3 linked regions of the Saccharomyces cerevisiae S288C genome follow. The protein of the gene in region 2 interacts with the protein of the main gene of each other region in a biochemical or structural test. Each region holds a gene or a part of one and is shown on either strand. Other genes may lie near its edges.

The links. The genes of interacting proteins can lie anywhere in the genome.
Region 1: of the proteins of CDC28 (region 2) and ORC6, one has a biochemical effect on the other in vitro, tested with the Saccharomyces cerevisiae proteins (7 studies listed by BioGRID).
Region 3: of the proteins of CDC28 (region 2) and NDD1, one has a biochemical effect on the other in vitro, tested with the Saccharomyces cerevisiae proteins (6 studies listed by BioGRID).

The regions. Positions count from the first base shown.
Region 1 is NC_001140.6:343,821-347,513, reverse strand, and holds ORC6 (origin recognition complex subunit 6), read left to right. Parts: upstream 1-1,885; coding exon 1,886-3,193; downstream 3,194-3,693. Other genes in the region: histone methyltransferase SET1, read right to left, coding at 1-1,471; protein channel TOM71, read right to left, coding at 3,246-3,693.
Region 2 is NC_001134.8:558,513-561,747, forward strand, and holds CDC28 (cyclin-dependent serine/threonine-protein kinase CDC28), read left to right. Parts: upstream 1-1,565; coding exon 1,566-2,462; downstream 2,463-3,235. Other genes in the region: IFA38 (ketoreductase), read left to right, coding at 173-1,216; mannosylinositol phosphorylceramide synthase catalytic subunit CSH1, read left to right, coding at 3,122-3,235. UniProt on the Saccharomyces cerevisiae protein: Cyclin-dependent kinase that acts as a master regulator of the mitotic and meiotic cell cycles. Required to drive the G1-S transition. More than 200 substrates have been identified. Substrate specificity is in part regulated by the bound cyclin protein.
Region 3 is NC_001147.6:1,034,307-1,038,374, reverse strand, and holds NDD1 (Ndd1p), read left to right. Parts: upstream 1-1,903; coding exon 1,904-3,568; downstream 3,569-4,068. Other genes in the region: NUD1 (Nud1p), read right to left, coding at 1-1,541. UniProt on the Saccharomyces cerevisiae protein: Transcription activator involved in G2/M transcription through its association with FKH2.

The DNA.
Region 1 (3,693 bases), on a different chromosome or scaffold from region 2:
TTAGAATAGGAATTCTTCTGCTCCGAGACATTATTGTTAAATTTCCTGACTCTGCATTCGAACATGTTTGCGCATGGGCAATGTCATTAAAAATAATATAGATACCAGTTGGATGATCAATAAATTTCGCACATCTGTATCCCCTTAACTTGTATTTAAAGTCCTCAACGCAGAACCTATGTTTGGCAACAAATATTTTGGAGACATGTAAAACAGGTCTGTTATTAACTACCCCCAAGAGATCATATGGAATTCTTTTTTCACTTCCGGACGAATGAGATAATGTGTCTACCTTAGGTTCCTTGGGCAAGGTAATATCTTTGCCCTGTAATTCCTTTGCTTTTTCGTTTTCTGCTTCTTTCTCTTTAGCCTTCTTCAGGTTCTCTTGTAACTTCTGTAGCTTTTTGACATTTATTTCAACAAATTTAGAAATGATATTATTCAAAATGGAATGCTTGTTTAAAATCACTTCGAACTTGAAGCCCATGATAAAGCAACCCGAAGATTCGTGCTTTCTAACGGCACTAAAGGCTGCTTTTGCTGCATCATTAATTTTTCCATCAGAACTGGCATACTTTATAAGATAAACATGCAAAGGTAAAGCGCTATTAGGATCATTAAATGCTTCAAAATGAGAAATTTCTCCATACTTTTTAAAATAGTTTTTTATTGATATGTCTTGGATATTGGTTGTTGTTGAATCTTGCGCTGGATAGACAACTATTTCACATGAAGGGGGAGGCCCTAAGGAGTACCTGTCATAAGATATGCGAGGCAATAGAATTAGTGAGTTCCTGCATTTTCTGTGGGTTGCCACTTTTCCGCTAGTCATGATACCGTTTTCATTACGTGGGTCGGATGCTTTTATCTCCGGATGTCTGTGTTTTATTTTGAACTTAAACTGTCCATCTTGTAACTCTTTGACTACGTAATAACCTGTTTCAGAAAATTCTTTATCTGTAGCCTTCCACGAAAGCATCTTATCCTTATTGAAGAACTCGCCTTTTATGGGATCAAAATAATGAAACTTAGACTTCAAATTATCTGTGTTGTATCTCAAAACTGAAGGTGGTCTTTGTTGCAAAAGCAGAGCAGATTCTGTGGGAAGAGATCCACTCGAAGACGCTAATGTATTGTGAACATTGCTATTTGAATACCGTGATTGAGACATGCCCCTCCGACTACTGATGTCAGATTTCTTATTTACATATGGGCCGCTTTGGCTGTTGTTAGTAGCATAGTACTGTCGCGTACTTGCATTGTTTGAACTATGTGGGCGATCGTCATTATAGCGTCGCCTTGTACCATCATTATGGTTATAACGTCGACGTTGATTATATTGACTAGAATATTGTTGGTGAGAATGGCCGTTTGAATACTGATAGTGACCAGAACGCGAATATTGAGGCTGTTCCTGGGGTTGTCTGTATGAACCAGAAGACGCGTGTGCTCTTCTATAGTAATTTGACATTCTCTAAACGCAGAGACCTCTTATAAAGATTCAACAAATAAGGAATGTTACCTATGCTAGTCGCAACTCTCTCGTAAGTTGAGGGTTGCTAACAGAAAAACGATGAGAAGAAACTTTTGAAAAATATTGTGTGAAAGCAGCACGAAACAGAGTATGAAAAAAGAATGCGGGCGTCCGTAAAGAGCTAGAATCGCAAGTGTCCAGAATATGCAAGGCTTTCGAATACACTCCTCACGCTTCTCTTCAGCAAAAATCAACTCTTTGTGATAAAACTGTGTATTTCTTTGTTCTTTGCCGTTGTTTACGTTAGTAAGAAATCGGCATTGAAAAAAAAAATCTCACACTAAAATTGCAGAAAAAAGTGTACAATATCAGTAAATAAAATTGGCCAAAACAATACCATTAAAACCAGTCATGTCCATGCAACAAGTCCAACATTGTGTCGCAGAAGTACTTCGACTAGATCCACAAGAAAAACCGGACTGGTCGAGCGGATATTTGAAGAAGTTGACTAATGCGACATCGATTTTATATAATACTTCACTGAACAAGGTAATGCTGAAACAAGATGAAGAGGTTGCTAGATGTCACATATGTGCATACATAGCGTCACAGAAAATGAATGAAAAACACATGCCTGACCTTTGCTATTATATAGACAGTATTCCCTTGGAGCCGAAAAAAGCCAAGCATTTAATGAACCTTTTCAGACAAAGTTTATCTAATTCTTCACCTATGAAACAATTTGCTTGGACACCGAGCCCCAAAAAGAACAAACGCAGTCCAGTAAAGAACGGTGGGAGGTTTACTTCTTCTGATCCGAAAGAGTTGAGGAATCAACTGTTTGGTACACCAACTAAAGTTAGGAAAAGCCAAAATAATGATTCGTTCGTAATACCAGAACTACCCCCCATGCAAACCAATGAATCGCCGTCTATTACTAGGAGAAAGTTAGCATTTGAAGAGGATGAGGATGAGGATGAAGAGGAACCAGGAAACGACGGTTTGTCTTTAAAAAGCCATAGTAATAAGAGCATTACTGGAACCAGAAATGTAGATTCTGATGAGTATGAAAACCATGAAAGTGACCCTACAAGTGAGGAAGAGCCATTAGGTGTGCAAGAAAGCAGAAGCGGGAGAACGAAACAAAATAAGGCAGTTGGAAAACCGCAATCAGAATTGAAGACGGCAAAAGCCCTGAGGAAAAGGGGCAGAATACCAAATTCTTTGTTAGTAAAGAAGTATTGCAAAATGACTACTGAAGAAATAATACGGCTTTGCAACGATTTTGAATTACCAAGAGAAGTAGCATATAAAATTGTGGATGAGTACAACATAAACGCGTCAAGATTGGTTTGCCCATGGCAATTAGTGTGTGGGTTAGTATTAAATTGTACATTCATTGTATTTAATGAAAGAAGACGCAAGGATCCAAGAATTGACCATTTTATAGTCAGTAAGATGTGCAGCTTGATGTTGACGTCAAAAGTGGATGATGTTATTGAATGTGTAAAATTAGTGAAGGAATTAATTATCGGTGAAAAATGGTTCAGAGATTTGCAAATTAGGTATGATGATTTTGATGGCATCAGATACGATGAAATTATATTTAGGAAACTGGGATCGATGTTACAAACCACCAATATTTTGGTCACAGACGACCAGTACAATATTTGGAAGAAAAGAATTGAAATGGATTTGGCATTAACAGAACCTTTATAACATATCCAGTATTAACTAAAAGTATATATTTGACCAATACCTGACATATCTTCTAAAGCATGCCTTTAGCCCTATAACGAGCTAATGTTAGCTCCATCTTTGCACTTATGATTGGATCAGCCCTCAAACGCTTTTGTATCTTTGCAGCTTCCGCGAAGGTAGTAGCTTGAAGTTTTTCATCCATAGTTCTTGCTAAAATTGCAGAATCTTCAAACAATTCTATGGCCTCGTCAATTTTTTCCATTTGTAATTTTAGTTGTGCTAACCCGATCTTCGCTTGTTCAGATCGTGGATCTAATTCACAGGCTTTTGTCAGCAGCTTAATGGCTGCGTTGAATTTCTCTTCATCCAACTGGGTTGGATCTTGAGAGGATTGTCTAGCTAATATAGTTGCTTTCCCAATCAAGGGTCCTATACCCACATGTATTTTTTCTTGCACTTCTTCCAACCTTTTAGCAATATCATATTGTTTAATTGCAGTATCAAAATCGCCCCTATCT
Region 2 (3,235 bases):
AATGTTTCGGATGTTCTGTTTTAAGTCCGCGGGAGGCCTTTTTATTTTTCGCTTTTTTAGAGATTTCACGAATAAAAGCGTTGCAGAAATGCAACTTCAAAAGAGACTGAAGGAAACACAGATAGAAGAACAGTCTTCAAAGCAATCAATTCGTGTCGGTGCAGCTTAAGAAATGACTTTTATGCAACAGCTTCAAGAGGCTGGGGAAAGATTTAGGTGTATCAATGGTCTTTTATGGGTTGTTTTTGGGCTTGGTGTCTTAAAATGTACAACGTTATCACTTAGATTTTTAGCTCTTATTTTTGATCTTTTTTTACTACCAGCAGTCAATTTCGACAAGTATGGTGCTAAAACTGGTAAATACTGTGCTATCACTGGTGCAAGTGACGGTATTGGTAAAGAATTTGCTAGACAAATGGCGAAACGTGGCTTCAACTTGGTATTGATCTCGAGAACGCAATCTAAATTGGAGGCTTTACAAAAAGAACTAGAAGATCAACATCATGTCGTTGTAAAGATTCTAGCCATTGACATTGCGGAGGATAAAGAATCCAACTATGAATCCATTAAGGAATTGTGTGCGCAGTTACCAATCACCGTTTTGGTCAATAATGTTGGTCAATCACACTCCATTCCTGTTCCATTTTTGGAAACAGAAGAGAAGGAGCTTAGAAATATTATCACTATCAATAACACTGCTACATTATTAATTACACAAATCATTGCACCAAAGATTGTGGAAACTGTGAAAGCTGAAAACAAGAAGTCGGGTACTCGTGGTTTGATCTTAACCATGGGCTCATTTGGTGGTCTGATTCCCACCCCACTTTTGGCTACATACAGTGGTTCGAAATCATTCTTACAAGGTTGGTCTAACTCTTTGGCTGGGGAATTATCTAAAGATGCTATCGATGTTGAATTAATCATTTCATATTTGGTCACTAGCTCGATGTCTAAAATCAGAAGATCATCTTTAATGATCCCAAATCCACAACAGTTTGTAAAATCCACTTTAAGAAGCGTTGGCAGACGCTGCGGCTCTCAAGAAAGATACGCTACTATGACCCCTTACTGGGCGCACGCAGTGTATCAATTTGTAATTACAGAGACCTTTGGCGTTTACTCTAAGATTGTTAACTCCATTAATTATTCCTTCCATAAATCTATCAGAATTAGAGCCTTAAAAAAAGCCGCAAGACAGGTTAAAAAGGAATAGAATTATCGTTCTCGAGATAGTTTTTATACAATACATATATATATATATATATATATATTTACAAGAAAAGCATGGCTTATGTATTATACTTGCTTATGTACCAATATATACATATATGGCCTTATTAGGGCAACAAACGCCAAAAATAAAAACGAACCTAAATGAGAAAAAAAGAGAAAAATTTGGAAAACAACAAGAACTCAAAAAAAAAAATTGGTGGAAGGACCAAGTCCTCTTGAAAGAAAATTTAATACTGCTTTTCCAGAATATCATATTGGAAAAAATATTCAAGCCAGCACATCAGCTACAGTGGAAAATAGCCCAGATCAAATAGAACTATCCTTCGAACATGAGCGGTGAATTAGCAAATTACAAAAGACTTGAGAAAGTCGGTGAAGGTACATACGGTGTTGTTTATAAAGCGTTAGACTTAAGACCTGGCCAAGGTCAAAGAGTAGTCGCATTGAAGAAAATAAGACTAGAGAGTGAAGACGAGGGTGTTCCCAGTACAGCCATCAGAGAAATCTCATTATTGAAGGAATTAAAAGACGATAATATTGTCAGATTATACGATATTGTTCACTCTGATGCACACAAGCTATATCTTGTTTTTGAGTTCCTCGATTTGGACCTGAAAAGATATATGGAGGGTATTCCAAAGGACCAACCGTTAGGAGCTGATATTGTTAAGAAGTTTATGATGCAACTTTGTAAGGGTATTGCATACTGCCACTCACACCGTATTCTGCATCGTGATTTAAAACCGCAGAACTTATTGATTAACAAAGATGGGAATCTAAAACTAGGTGATTTTGGCTTAGCGCGTGCTTTTGGTGTTCCGTTGAGAGCTTACACACATGAAATTGTTACTCTATGGTATAGAGCTCCGGAGGTATTACTGGGTGGAAAACAATATAGTACAGGTGTCGATACATGGTCCATCGGCTGTATATTTGCCGAAATGTGTAACAGGAAACCAATCTTCAGTGGCGATAGTGAGATCGATCAGATTTTCAAGATATTCAGAGTATTGGGAACGCCGAATGAAGCTATATGGCCAGATATTGTCTACTTGCCTGATTTCAAGCCAAGCTTTCCTCAATGGCGCAGAAAAGACCTATCACAAGTGGTACCAAGTCTAGATCCACGCGGTATTGATTTGTTGGACAAACTCCTCGCGTATGACCCTATTAACCGGATTAGCGCCAGAAGAGCAGCCATCCACCCCTACTTCCAAGAATCATAAGCATTATAATCTATTTCGCTATTATATTACAAATGCTACTGCACTGTCATTATAGCCTAGTAAAGTATATAGTGAATACAATATACTCAGTTTCAACATTATGATGGGTAACTCCATCAGAAAATATATTCATCGTCATATACGGAACATTCAGTTATACGCGAAAGTAAAAGTGAGAGCTTTTCAGGGGTTAAAAGCTGGGCGTGTTCCATGACGTATTTACCGAGGTCGTATTATCAAAGAAAATGAAAAAAAAAAAAAAAAAAAAAAAAGCGAAGAGGAAAAAGACAAACGAAAAACAAAACGAAATAACGCATTGTATGCTGGGGCCTCAATTGAACTTCTTTGACTATAAGGAGTTCGCTTGTTTAAAGCCGTTTCGCATCTGACTCGCCCTTGGTTTTTTTCTCTGTTCTTGTTTTTGACCTCCGCAAATTCATTGCTCTTTGAATTTTGAAGAGTTTCATTGTCACCGTTGAATAACCGAGACGGGTATTGTTTTTATTTCCTTCATTATTTACATCGCAACACGATTTTTATTAGCTTCCTCAAGGAGCGCTGACCGTATATAATATAATTTCAACAACCGAACAAGGCAGTGCGAAGCGGTGCACCTTACAACAGTGCTAAAGTAGTTACAGTAAACCAATTAATACGTGATGAAGAAGGAGTTGAAAATTCTTATAATAGCGAACATTGCATTACTTATCTCTATAATACATTACACATTTGATTTGTTGACGTTATGTATAGATGATACTTCCAAAGATGCG
Region 3 (4,068 bases), on a different chromosome or scaffold from region 2:
GTGTTCATTTCATTGTCACTAAGGTTTAGCACTAATACATTCGGTAGTAGTCTTTGCATGCCAAACATATTCTTCAGTTTGCCCCTTGATAGGTCAACTTTCAGGATTTTTTCCCAATCGGAATCATAGCTTGGAGAACCAGATAGTTTACTAGTCAAGATTGATATTAGCTGCTTTTCAGTTTCGTTGAACGAGGTGTTTACTTCGGAAATGGACGTAATATCTTCAACCCGTTCAGCGGGGAAGGTCTTTAGTTTCTTGTGAGCTTCTAGTAGATTGGAATTAGAGATTGAACGAGAGGTACGCATTTGTCCTTTAACCTTCGCTCTAGTGCCATTTTTCGTAAAAAGGTCATTAAATTTTGGTGTGTCTAGGGGCGTGTCATCGCTATTTGCTAGATTTTCTTCTTCTTGTATTTTCTTTTGGCGGTAGCCAACATCACCTGGTTTGGTACTGGTTAATTCATACGCCTTCTTATCTAGAATTGAAGGTGCCTTACCGTTAGTGTGATTATCTCCAGTTGGTACCATTGTGGCGAACTGGGACTGGTTGGAAGATGTATTGTCCAGAGAATGTGAACTCGACACATCTAAGCCCTGGTTCAGCGGCGGATCCCATGCGCCGTGTGTATGGTTAAACTGATATCCCAATTGACCGGGTGAAATAGTGTTCAATGGAGGTTTCTTGAGAACTTTTGATTTTCTGCCTGATTGAGTTTGAGAGGACGACATGGATGACGATGATGAAAATTCAAAAGAATTGGAAGTGTCCTCTTCGTCCTCCTCCTTCGTTCTAGCGTTATCCTTATTATTAATATTAATACTATTATTATTATTATTATTATTATTATTATTATTGTTTTTGTTGTTGCTATTACTTGGATAAGAACCCACCAAATAATTCGATTTTTGCTTTTGTAATATGCCATCAAATACATCATGTGCCTCAGCTGCTGGGCCAGAATCGCTGTCATCAGAAAACGACGATGAGACCTTCTCAGCGTTAAAGAAATCTTTAGAATGTGAAATACTAATCGTATCATGGTTTTCATGGGTCTGCATAGTAGTAGTTTTATTCTTCATATCTAAATGTCTTTTAAATGTATTTGTTTCAAGAACTCCAGATAAATCCTTAACCAAGTCGCTCACAATGAGATCCGATTCAGGAACTTTGTTTGCAGTACCAACAGCGCCACCAAAGTTGGTACCACCGCCGCTACCAATACCAGGGAAATACTGCTTCCATTGAGCTTCTTGATGAGATGTAGCAGTCGTGCCTGAAAAACCTGACGGCACTTTCTGATGCACCGTGCTATAGTTGTTCAAAACTGTCATTGTAGGAGGTTTTTTGACAGAATCGGATATTGCAGGTTCCACAACTTGGGAAGTAAAATTTGAATCTTGAAAATCGTGGTTACTTTCATATTCCTTAAACACTTTACCACTGTTACTGTGCGCGTTCGAGCGTAGCTTTCGTGGTGAATTTATTGTAAGATTCTCCAGCTGGCTCGATAGTTCTGCCTCCTGCGTATCCATATCCATTTCGGTATGCTTTTACTATTCAACCTAGTCGGCAATTTTTTCACCTGAATATTGTTGAACACTTCTGGCATCCTAGATACTCATCTGTATTTATTCATTATCTGTTGTGCATCGTTAATAGCATTCCAGTAAACAAGTTTAGGTCACTACCCGCATAAGCCTTTTGGCGTTTGGCGTAACCCTCCTCGCGAAAAGAAACGGGACGCAAAAAAAAAAAACAACAAAACAAGAACAAAACAAAACAAATAGGACAGAGCCTTAAGGAGCTGCAAGGATCTTCTGAATATTTGGCATCGGCATTGTGGGTGGAAAAAGTGTCCAAATTGGAATAAATTGGTCAGAATAGAGCATTGATTCCAACTATGGACAGAGATATAAGCTACCAGCAAAATTATACCTCAACTGGGGCAACTGCAACTTCCTCAAGACAGCCCTCTACGGACAATAATGCAGATACAAATTTTTTGAAGGTAATGTCAGAATTCAAATATAATTTTAACAGTCCGTTACCTACAACGACTCAATTCCCCACGCCCTATTCTTCTAATCAGTATCAACAGACTCAAGATCATTTTGCCAATACAGACGCTCACAACAGTTCGAGCAACGAATCGTCGTTGGTAGAGAACAGTATATTACCGCATCATCAGCAGATACAACAGCAACAACAACAACAACAACAACAACAACAACAACAGCAAGCTCTAGGTTCACTTGTACCTCCTGCTGTCACAAGGACAGATACAAGTGAGACTTTGGACGATATCAACGTTCAACCTTCTTCTGTTTTGCAGTTCGGCAACTCTTTACCCAGCGAATTTTTGGTTGCATCCCCAGAGCAATTCAAAGAATTTTTGTTGGACTCTCCGTCCACCAATTTCAATTTCTTTCACAAAACTCCGGCAAAGACACCACTTCGATTTGTAACAGATTCTAACGGTGCTCAGCAAAGCACCACAGAGAACCCAGGTCAACAACAGAATGTTTTTAGCAATGTCGATTTGAACAATCTTTTGAAGAGTAATGGAAAAACACCCTCATCTTCATGCACCGGCGCATTTTCACGCACTCCTCTGAGTAAGATTGACATGAATCTCATGTTCAATCAACCGCTGCCGACATCTCCATCAAAAAGGTTCTCCTCCCTGTCGTTGACACCATATGGAAGAAAAATTCTGAATGACGTCGGTACACCTTATGCAAAAGCATTGATATCGTCTAACAGCGCGTTAGTGGATTTTCAGAAGGCAAGAAAGGATATTACCACTAATGCAACATCCATAGGGCTGGAAAATGCCAACAACATCTTACAGAGAACGCCGCTAAGATCTAACAATAAAAAATTATTTATTAAAACCCCCCAGGATACCATCAATAGCACTAGCACACTAACTAAGGACAACGAAAATAAACAGGACATATACGGCTCTTCACCGACTACCATCCAATTAAATTCATCAATAACTAAATCTATCTCCAAATTGGATAACTCTAGAATTCCCTTGTTAGCTTCGAGATCAGATAACATTCTGGATTCCAATGTGGATGACCAATTGTTTGATTTGGGGTTGACAAGATTACCTTTATCACCAACACCAAATTGTAATTCTTTGCATAGTACAACCACAGGTACATCTGCCTTACAAATTCCTGAGCTACCCAAGATGGGGTCTTTTAGAAGTGATACGGGAATCAATCCAATTTCAAGTTCAAACACAGTTTCTTTTAAGAGCAAATCAGGCAATAATAATTCAAAGGGTCGAATCAAAAAAAATGGGAAGAAACCTTCCAAATTTCAAATTATTGTGGCAAATATTGATCAATTTAACCAGGATACATCATCGTCATCTTTATCATCATCATTGAATGCAAGTTCGAGTGCAGGGAATTCAAATTCAAACGTAACAAAGAAAAGAGCAAGTAAACTCAAAAGATCACAGTCTTTACTTTCTGATTCCGGATCGAAATCACAAGCAAGGAAAAGCTGTAATTCTAAATCTAATGGAAATTTATTCAATTCACAGTAATATTAACCAAACTTGCATCTCACCTTTTTTTTTTAATCGAAATTTCAAGCATTTTTCTCTCCTTCGCTTAGTCTTGTTTCATCCCATTCAACATTTTTTATTACACAACATTTTGAAAATATCTTAAAAACAAAAAAGAACGATCACAAATTTATGGCACGAAGAATACATACATCAATCGAGGACATTTTTTACATTTTATTTCATAATCATCATTTTTTCTTTTCTTTACTACTATTCTGTGGTTTCATATTGTTCGTCAGGATGTTCATATATATTAAGGAGTTTAAACTATATACATATGATTAGGTAAATAGGTAACTATTTTCAATCAATTTATTATAAGTATCATTAATTGATGTTACTGCCAGATTTTACGATATTCCCTCTAATTTCCGGGTATCCCATAAAAGCAATTCCCCGGCGTATAATTTCATTATTATGACATGGCTGTTAGTATGGTATGGTGCCCATCACATAAGTCACATATCGAGTCGAAA